2 linked regions of the Arabidopsis thaliana genome follow. The protein of the gene in region 2 interacts with the protein of the main gene of each other region in a pairwise test. Each region holds a gene or a part of one and is shown on either strand. Other genes may lie near its edges.

What was found. Proteins that work in one complex are often made in the same cells at the same time.
Region 1: the proteins of AT5G47570 (region 2) and CSLC04 interact in a protein complementation assay, tested with the Arabidopsis thaliana proteins (one large-scale study listed by BioGRID).

What each region holds. Positions count from the first base shown.
Region 1 is NC_003074.8:10,503,827-10,509,772, reverse strand, and holds CSLC04 (Cellulose-synthase-like C4), read right to left. Parts: upstream 4,063-5,946; 5' UTR 3,664-4,062; coding exon 3,028-3,663; intron 2,888-3,027; coding exon 2,579-2,887; intron 1,861-2,578; coding exon 1,456-1,860; intron 1,378-1,455; coding exon 706-1,377; 3' UTR 508-705; downstream 1-507. UniProt on the Arabidopsis thaliana protein: Beta-1,4-glucan synthase rather involved in the synthesis of the xyloglucan backbone than cellulose. Seems to work simultaneously with xyloglucan 6-xylosyltransferase.
Region 2 is NC_003076.8:19,292,076-19,296,489, forward strand, and holds AT5G47570 (NADH dehydrogenase ubiquinone 1 beta subcomplex subunit), read right to left. Parts: upstream 2,726-4,414; 5' UTR 2,592-2,725; coding exon 2,454-2,591; intron 2,379-2,453; coding exon 2,292-2,378; intron 2,206-2,291; coding exon 2,110-2,205; intron 851-2,109; coding exon 794-850; 3' UTR 512-793; downstream 1-511. Other genes in the region: ASG7 (uncharacterized protein), read right to left, coding at 2,873-4,414. UniProt on the Arabidopsis thaliana protein: Accessory subunit of the mitochondrial membrane respiratory chain NADH dehydrogenase (Complex I), that is believed not to be involved in catalysis. Complex I functions in the transfer of electrons from NADH to the respiratory chain.

The sequences.
Region 1 (5,946 bases), on a different chromosome or scaffold from region 2:
TATGGTTAGTTTAGAGATATTGTTTATATTAAATTTGGTAATTAAATCATTAATTTTTGTTTTTAATTATTAGTTTTTAGGTAACTTTTCCAAAAATTAATGTTATCCAAGATCAGAACAGAATTAAACATGTTATCCAAGATCCGAACAGAGTTAAACCGGGTTATACCCACCCATTTGAATTAATTGTTGAATTATGGCTCAAATCTTCAACATTATCTTCAAAAACGTCTACAAAAATGTATATATAGATAACTAATCTGATCTCTATCTACACTTCTTTTGAGTATTTTTCCGAGACAAATTAAACTATGACTAGACAAATTATCATTTGTAATCTTTCCACTAATGAGAATAGTTTGTAGTTCCATTCATTCTGTCCACAAATGCTATGGTAATCAAATCAAAGTTGAGAAGACAAAAATATTTTCTATTAGAGGTAATGTGATTGAGTAATTGTGATTGAAATACTGTTGAATATTTATCCAAACAAAACATCTAAGAGCTATGATTTTTTAAAGTTAAGCCAAAATCATATAACAAATTCGTTTCAATTCATTTATCTGAAACTGGACATTATAAGTTCTTGAAAATTATGTATAAAACCCACATATAAAAAGGGAAAAGAATTTAAAAAACAAACAAAAAAATAGTGAATATAAACGGTATTTTTTTCCTTGTTCTCTGTCTTGGTTTTGTGTGTGTCTAGCTGATCTGTTCTCCGATCAAATCCAACCCTACAACCAAGAAAGACAGTCCCTGAAACAACAAAAAGTAGAAGTGAAGACCGTGCGCCGATAGAAAGCTCCTTGCAGCTGCGGTTAGCAGCAAGAACGCAAGCCCGAGCTCTTTCTTGAACACCATGTTCGTCTTCTTCTTGTTCTTCGGCCTCATTAGCCCTCCAAGGCTCTTCTTCACGGTTTCTTGCCCTACAAGATTTGTCTCTTGCTCCTTAAGTTTGCTCAGAAGCTCCAAACCTGACTCCGAGTTTCTCCTATGCAACTTCTCTTCCTTTTCAGCAAACGCTAGCAAATCGGACTCCGATGATCTCCCGGTTTTCTTCGTCACAACCCACTCGTAAGCCGATCCAAACTGAAACAGCCCGGAGATCATGGCGTTGAACTTGGTTATTGACATTGTGTTTTCGAAAAGAAGGTAAGGGACTAAGAAAGGGAAAGATTTAGGTGACGGGAGAATGTTGAGAAGCGAAATGAAGATAGGAACATAGCAGATGATCCACAACGGAAGCTCGGCTTCGGGTATGAACATTGTCAATGGAAGTATAATGCAAAAGAGTGTGAATGAGTAAAATGGTAGAATAAGCTTCCTTAGAAGAAAGAAAAGGAAGATCAAATTCGCCTTCTTCCAAACCGATATCTACAAACACAAAAACAAACAATGAGTATATGTAATGATGTTTAACTACTATCACTAGTTGTAGAAATAAACTTTTACCTTTGATTTGATAATTGAAGGAAGGCATAACCGGAACAGCTGCATAGGACCGGAATGCCAACGATGTTGTTGCTTCTTGTAAGCTTCATAAGACTCTGGCAACTCGCAAGTGACTTCAACATCATTAAGGTAAATAAACTTCCAGCCGTTGAGATGCGCTCTAACCGCGATATCCATATCTTCCACGGTGGTTCTCTCGAGCCATCCGCCGGATTCTTCCAATGCCTTGATCCTCCATACTCCAGCGGTTCCATTGAATCCGAAGAAATTGAGAAACACACCGTTCACTTGTTGTTCTACTTCGAAGTGGAAACATAAGTTTATGTTTTGTAGCCTCGTGAGGAGATTCTCATCTTTGTTCACAAATGACCACCTTGCTTGGACCAACCCTAGCTCTGGATTACCCTGTGCAAACAAACAACACAACACTCGTAAGAATCTTGATATTCAAAAATGTTTGCATAAATGTAAACTTCCACATGAATATACTTTTACATTTTAACAAAATCTATTGACTAGTCTACTTAAAAATTCCGGTCTCAGTCATCTTGAGTTCGACTCCAACAACCCACATGAAAAATAAGATATGCTCTTTAGGTGGGGTACATAAAAATAAAATAATAGAATTTCGATTTTTCACAAAACAATAACTTATAAAACAATTATTATTATAATATGTAAATGTAAAAACAAAGGAATAATTGAAACCCGGAATCAAACAGAATCAAGATTAGCTTCAACTAGATTGAATTTGAAGACTTGTCATGTTAGAAAAATCAACCAAAGAAGTCATGAGTTTTGTAATTTCATATTTGTCGGTTACTTCGATTTCATACATAACAAATTACCAAATTGGATTTTCCTAACATAAAACCAAAAATACAAAAAACAATATAAAAATTTGTCGGTTACTTAGAACATGATCCACCGAAAAATAGATAAAACCAGCAAAGACAACTGTCGGTGATGAGTATAATCAAAAAAATATTTTCTATCAAAAAAGTGTAAAAAAGAAACAAATCTTTTTCCAGTGAATTTCTCTAAAACATTCATCGTAAATTACGAAACGTCAAGAAAGAAGTTTCCTTTTATAAGTTTGGGAATAAAGAGATTGTGTTCTTACCTTGAAATGAGGAACAGTCTTCTTGAGGAAATCAGGATTTGGTGTGAAATCTGCGTCGAAGATAGTCACAAACTCGTAATCTTTAACGTAATCACAAGTCATGGCTGATTTCAAATTGCCAGCTTTGTAACCAGTTCTGATCAACCTATGCCTGTAAATTATGTTTACGCCTTTTTCGGCCCAAACCGATACTTCTTCTTTGATCAAAAGCTGTAAATTTGGATCGTCTGAATCATCTAATACTTGAATTAAGATCCTATCTTTTGGCCAATCAAGTTGTGAAGCTGCTCCTATTGATTGTTCATACACCTAGAAGAAAACAAAACATAACAATTATACTATGTAAGAGAAAACAGAACATAAAACAGAATAAAAACAGAGTAAAAACAGAGCAACACAGAGTAAAACCAAAGTGAAAACAGAGTAAAAACAGAGTGTTTATAGTTTACCTCTCGTTCGTTGCACATTGGGATCTGAATAAGGACCATTGGGAAACTGGAGGGGTCTTCTAAATCGATAGATTCTTCGGTGAGCTTAGGTTCGATCTTTTTAAATTTGATCCAAAAGCAACCGAGACAGAGGACTAACCGATCAAGAGACTGAATCAAAAAGAGTACAGTGCAGAATCTGGAGAGACTGATGACAAGAGGAGCGATGTAATCGGATCGAAACGAGAGCCAAGCCATGTACGACCATTCGACAAGCCCGTAAACCTCCCAAGACGGTCGGTTAATGAGATCAAGATTCCATTTCTTGAAATGTGCAACGATTTCTATGGACAAGGCAATAATGGAGATGACAAGACAAGCTTTGATGAATCTGTACATTTGTTTTCCTCTGCTTTTAGGATCTTCTTCTTCGTTAATGTTCTTCGCGGAGAACGCGATTCGCTTTTTAACCGAAGAGACTAGCCACGAGAGACACGAGATGAGTCTATGAGCTTTGAGAAGAAGGAACCATGAGAATTGTTTTGGACTGATGGATTTACGTTTGTCGGGGAATGAGGATGGATCTGAGCCGTTGATCTCTAGTAAAGAGAAGTTGTCTGGCTTCTCCATTGTCACTGCTACTGAATTTGGAGCCATGAATGATAAAGAAACAGAGAAGGGTGAGAAGAATAAAGAAAAGGTATTTGTGTATTTTGGTACTATGAAATGTTTGTCATTATAAAGAAGTGTAGAAGAATCGTCACTGTTTCATTAAATTTTCCATAAAAACAGGATCGTTTGTTTATGTTACACAGACAAAACAGTGTTCTGATTAGATCAGAATGTGAGATACTTTGGGTTCAGCTGTGTAACTGAAACTTGTGATTGAGAGAGAGAAAGAAAGAGAGACGAGGATCATGTGCTGAAGTGAACCAACTAAGTAAATAAAGAGGAGAGGAGAAGAAGAAGAAGAAGAAGAGAGTTCTCCTTTCTTTGAATTTTCCTCTTTTGTTTTTGTAAAGGAAGATTTTATTTAATTATTTTCTTTGTTTGAAAAGTCCAATTTTTATTAGTGGGATCTATTTCCAGCGTGCATAACTAAAGAACAAATTATATTTATTTATGACAAAAAAAGAAAATTTGATTTCTTACTATATGATCAATTTACTATTTTATTTTAGATTCTATAACAAATGATTCAAATGATAACTAATTTGTAAATCCCGTGAATTTTATTTTAATATTTTTTTATCAATCAATCTTTATTTAGAGTTCAGAATCCCGTGAAAATTATTAAAGTAAACATACTCGGAAGTTATGGTTACGTGTTTTTTTTATTAATTTTCAGAAATTACTAATTTATGTAGTTAATTTAGAGGCATTTTTTTTGATATATTGTATAGACAATAAAAGTTTATCAAGTACTAATCTAGTATTTAAAGAAGGCTAATGAAGAAGGCTAACGCATATAATCAAAGATTAGTTGGGTTTTCTTTCATATCATTTTTTTATATTAGTTAACGTGAAAATTTTAATTTGATGTTAAATACATTTTATCTTATATGTTAGTAGTTTGGAATCATTTTTTTTTGCCAGTCTTCTAAGTAAATTAAAAAATAGTAACCGATTTTTTTGACCAAAATCAATCCTAATGGTTTTAGCCTTTTAGGTGGAACGATTTGGTTTAAAGTTACTTTGTTAAGCAAATCCGCGTCTAGTGATTTGATTAAGTAGGAGAGAGACTGCTGTTTATATTATTTTGGGGAAATTTACATCTTTATAATTATACCCATAAAATGAAAATACTTTACTTAAAAAAAGCTATTGGCTTATGGATCTTACGCGATATGTCCAGTCATAAAACTGCGTTTATACATGCATGTGTGTGTATTAAAGAAAAACAAAATGAATGAGAAGAAAAACACAAAGAAAAAAAAGAGATGATTCCAAGAAAAGGCCAAAAATCAATTTGTATGATTGGTAAGGAATTTGGAGGATGACAACTTGGTCCAGCGATGACCAGATTAAACTTATAAAAATGTAATTAGATCAACTTTACTAAATTATAATATTACTTTAACTCAAAGTAATGGACTATGTTGTCGCTTCACTGTCTTCCAACTTTTTTTATTTGATCTTGTTGATTCAAAGTGTTAAATGAATTATCCAGTTACTGTAACCCTTTGATTTGGATAATTTTTCATTTCCAAGATAAATTTTCACTTATTCACAAACATTTAGCTTGTGATTTATCATCGATGATCAACGGAGTACAAGAGATAATAGAGCATGTTAGAAGTCCCACCTCAACTCTATGGCAGATTAGACAAATGTCATGGGTTTATTGTTAATTTTAAAAAAATTCTTAATGATAAAAGGTTTAATATTATTTTACTAAAAGATTTTAGATTTTTGTTGATTTTGCTAGAAGCTCAACGATATACTGCATGTTATTGTTAGATGGGTTCGATTATGTCATGCTTGTGTCACAAGACGTTGCAAAGTAAATCAAATCAAATCTATTTCACTTATATATATAATCAAAAATATGGATCTCATTTTCACAATTATCATATTTTTTTATAGACATACTGATATATATATTGGTTCTCTCTGGTCAAAAAGTTTGTTGGATGCAGGATTAAATTAGAACAGTATTTTTGAAAAGAAATTACAACAGTAATATATTTGATAGATATCGACAGTGTAACAACATGTAAAATGTGAGTAAACTATAATCACGATATATGTTTTATGTTTTAACTATTAACCCAAAACTATATGAATACAAGCTGTGTAGTAAAATTCCATAACAAAAAGATTTAATATTTTCAAGTCTAAGAAAAAGACAATAACCGTAACCGGCGGTGAGAGAAGAAAATCACATGGGAAGTTTCTATTTTACGAACATAAAATATTATTATATTAAAATATATATTC
Region 2 (4,414 bases):
TAGACTATGTAGTCTCTAAACTTGCCCCTTATTGTGACAAGTCTACATTAGACGTGTATTTGTACAAGTCAAATCCAATTCATCATCCCACAGTCACTTATCAAATTTCAAATTAGAGCTTCTTAAAGTATTCTTCTTAGTATAAAAATTTTAGACAAGTCACACCAATCTTTTATCATATTAATTTTTACCCGTAAGAATAAGATCTATGTTTACAAATACGAATTTCTTACTAAACTACTTGTCGTGATGAATTTTGATAGAGATAATCATCAGAGAAAACAAAGAGAACTAAATAAATGCGTATAAGATATGAATAATATACAGAAGAGGAAAGAAATACCGAATACGTAATGGATATAAAACCAAAGTTTCAATTCCAAGACGGATACGAACAAGTTCGAGTTTCTCTCAATGTCCCACTCACATGCCCCATTAGGTTTAATTTGTCTTTCTGTTTTTTTCTTTTTTCTTTTTATTGTAGCCTTTGTTTGATTGAAGTCGTACGAGGCTCAAACTTGGTTCGACACATGGCGCTAACTGAATTGCGAGACGATTGTTTTCTAAAAGTTACAAAACACAACTCAAGATTTCCTGAACCAGAAGTCTTCTCTTATGGATCTCTCTCACTGGTCACTGTTAATTACAGAGACAACGCATATAATAAAAACAAAGTCTTCTTTTTATTCTTTTGTCTTCAAGTTCTAAGCAGGAAACAACAAACATTTTAAAGAACAAAGCAGTGAAGAAAACACGCTTCCTGTTTTGATGAGCAGATCACTTAGATGGGTCTCTATGGCTCTCCTCCAAGCTCAACTCTCAGGTTGTCATATGGATACACTCTCGGTGTCTGCAACAACACAGTAAGAGATTAACATGATATGGAAAACAAGTTCCACAATGACACAAAAGCAGAGAGATGATATGCCACAGAACAAATTCTAAAGTAAAAGAGAGCAGCAATTCAACTCATGTATAAACAAGAAGATATAGAGCAACTTCTCAGCCTTGGAGTGCTGTTCAACCTCTATAACCCTAAGTTCTTCAAAACAAGACACATCATAATAGCCTTTGATACAAAGTCTATGATTCTTGGCCAACGGACACTAAGAGAAGTAACATTTGGAGTAAAAAGAAGAACAGCAATTCAACTCATGTATAGACAAGAAGACATAGATCAACTTCTTAGCCCCGGTGTGGTGTTCAACTTCTATAACTCGAAGTCCTTTAAAGAAAACTCATTATAGTATAGCCTTTGTACAAAGTTTATGATTCTTGGCCAGTCGACACTAAGAGAACCAACTCATCGATTTTAGCTGCTCATGCACCTCAAAGAGCCTTCATGTCTTTCTTACACCTCTAAGAGATGCCACAGAACAACTTCTAGAGTAAATGAACAGCACCAATGTCTAGACAAAAAGCCAGAGCACCTTTTTTAGGCCTAAGTCTTTTACTCGGAATCCTTCAAAACAAGACTCATCACAGTATAACCTATTAACCTTTGATACAGAGTTTTTCATTCTTGGCCAGTGGACACTAAGAAAACTAAAACATAGATTATAGCTGCTGGTACATACACCTCTAGCATACGCTTAAGCATTTACCGAGTTCCCAAGAACACTGTGGGTGTTTCTTTCAAGTGTTCCTAACTACAACGTACATGCTCAAATTAATTAAGACAGGATTATGGAAGCAATGCGGACATAAGATTCATCTAGTCCAGTAACTTTGGTCAGATGCAAAAGCAAACAGCAAGAATTGTTCATGTTCATAAACAGACAAAATGCAGAACTGAAAGCTAAATATTGCGGCAATTCAGCAAATAAAGAAAAGAACATTGACACATTCTCTGTTACGCGAGCATATTTTGTAGATTCCTATGTTTTCTGTCCACATTTAGTTAATGAGTTTCTGAAGATTCCAGCAAAAACCTATTCTCAGAAATAAGCCAATGCCAAACATATGTATCAAATTCAGAGTTGAACAACATACATAATAACAGCTGCATAGGGATGATAGATCTTAGCATAATCATGACTTCGATCATCACACTCAGGACAACAAAATGGGCTTGATTATAATTTCGAAAGTTGAAAGCTTTGAACTTACAAATGGAACCTTAGAAGCTTTGTCGTTCAAAACAGCGAGCAGACCGAGACCAACAAAGAACCCTAATCCGCCACTCAACCATGCCAATGCTTCATACTGTTCACATTAATCCAAAATCAATCAGAAAAGCAATCTCTTTTTACACCGAGAATCACCAGCAATTAGAAATCGTGTAACCAAACCTTTCCGACGGTATCAGCAATCCGATCTATGCAAGGCTCTGGAAACGCAGTCCCGTTGTCCCACATCAGCTCGTCGTTTACCGATAGCTGACCCGCACAATTTGTAAACATCAGATTTTCAGAAGAATCTAACAAGAAATTTACAACAGAAATTTGACTCACCGGCTTATCGGGGACGATGTGTTTGCCGACGGGGAGACCCATTCCGGCGCGTTGACGGAGAGAAGAACCGACGGATCGGGCAACGACGCCGTTTCCACCCATGATTCGTGACGCAACACCGCTCAATCTTCCAGCCATTTTCGCTCTTTTCAGGTTTCGATCCAAAATCCAATCAAATTACAGATAGAGAGAGAAGAAAGACGCAGTCACTGAAACGATTCCCTGAAACGCCATCGTTTTAAAAGAGGTCAATATTGTAATTTCGATTAACGAATTTTAAAACCAACGAAATGAGCAAACACATACACTTCAAGTGTGTCAAAAAGCTTCAGATTCTTACTATATACAAAGAGATTCATGTGGTGAATACACAAAGGTACAAAAACAGAAAAAGCTACAACCTTTAACATATCTATAAACTACTCAACAGTGAGGCGCAGTTCGTCCGAGTCGGGATAAACTGTCTTGTTGTTATTATCACATTCGCAAGAGTTAATCTTGTAGAATGCTCTCCATTCGTCGATGTTCTTCATCTGATCACATCTCAATTTAGGTAACCTTCTTCTCTCTAAGATCTCTAGAATCTTCTCTGTTCTTCCCAGATGCAGAGCTGCTCCTCTTACTGATTCTTCCCTTACTTCTACAGCTGACACCAAACACTTGACGGATATCACTTGTGCTACGTTGCAAAAGCAACCTGACACTATGTCTGATATTGTGCTTTCCAGCTTTCTCAACAGAGCTTCCCCTGTTCCATAGTCTCTTGATTCGTAAGTTAGTAGAATTGTTTGACAGATTCGGTACATGGAGTTGGCTGCTAGAGTCTTGATGGGCCAGTGAGAGGGCTTGTGCTTCATGCATACCATCAGGTTCATCTGCCATGACTCTGAGAACTCTTTCTTCGCGATTTCCATCAGCTCCCGAAGGGTTTCTTCTGGATTTCTTTGTTGCTTTGATAGTTTCCGAAGATCCACATCAAACCACTTGTGATAGAGATCAACACCTAGCCAAACGACCTCAGCAGCTTTCCTGAGGTTAACTGACTCTCCTCCGGTATCCAGGACGCATTCAAACTTGTTGACATATTCCAGTGCCTCGTTGACAGCATTGAGTAACTTCTTCAGGGAGGAGGGCTTGATGTCGGGAAGTGCAACAGCAATACTTGTGAGTGTTACAAGCGGGAGAGCCCAACAATTGGGCGGTTCTCCGTGGGCCAGAGAAGCCACCTTGTTGCTGTCGAACTCTGCAATCCCTTCAAATCCTTTTGAAATGGGTGTTGTTGCTTCCAAAAGCTCTATCAGATTCACTGGTTGTTTCTTTCTGCCCTTCTCTATCCAATGATCTGTCGCTTCCCGGTTGCTCCGCACCATCACATCCACCAGCGGGTCCTCTCCTTCAAGGTGCAGGACAAAACTCGCTAGGTCCTGTCTCGAGCTTGGATTTGAATCGGATTTTTCTGACTCACTGTGTGTGATAGTATTACTGGTCCTTAAGGCGAAATGACAGCACAACAAGATCTTACCCACACAGGATACCGAGATGTAACGGATAATTTTGCTACCAAACACAATCACATACTGTATCACAATACATACATCCAATATCCAGCGTTTTGCATTGTGTGCAGTCTTCCTGTATCTGCGTTCTTTGAGGATCCAAAGGCTTAAGGGATGTTGCTTCTTCTCTGAGAACCAATGTGTCCAGTAACTCTCTATTCTAAACTCATCTCTATAATACTTCTTTCCTCTAATCGGACACCTGAAGTTCACAGCCGTGAACCATCTGATCGCAGGAGCAATGGTCCCTATAGCTACAGTAGTAGTCTGGCAAACAAGAACCAGAGAAGTTGACCATTTGTAATCAGAATCTCCATGGCAGAACCCAAGTGACCTTGGTCTTAAAAAGTAACTCCTAACCATAGCTTCACCAAGCGTAATGGCACTCAGGAGACAGAAGAAACC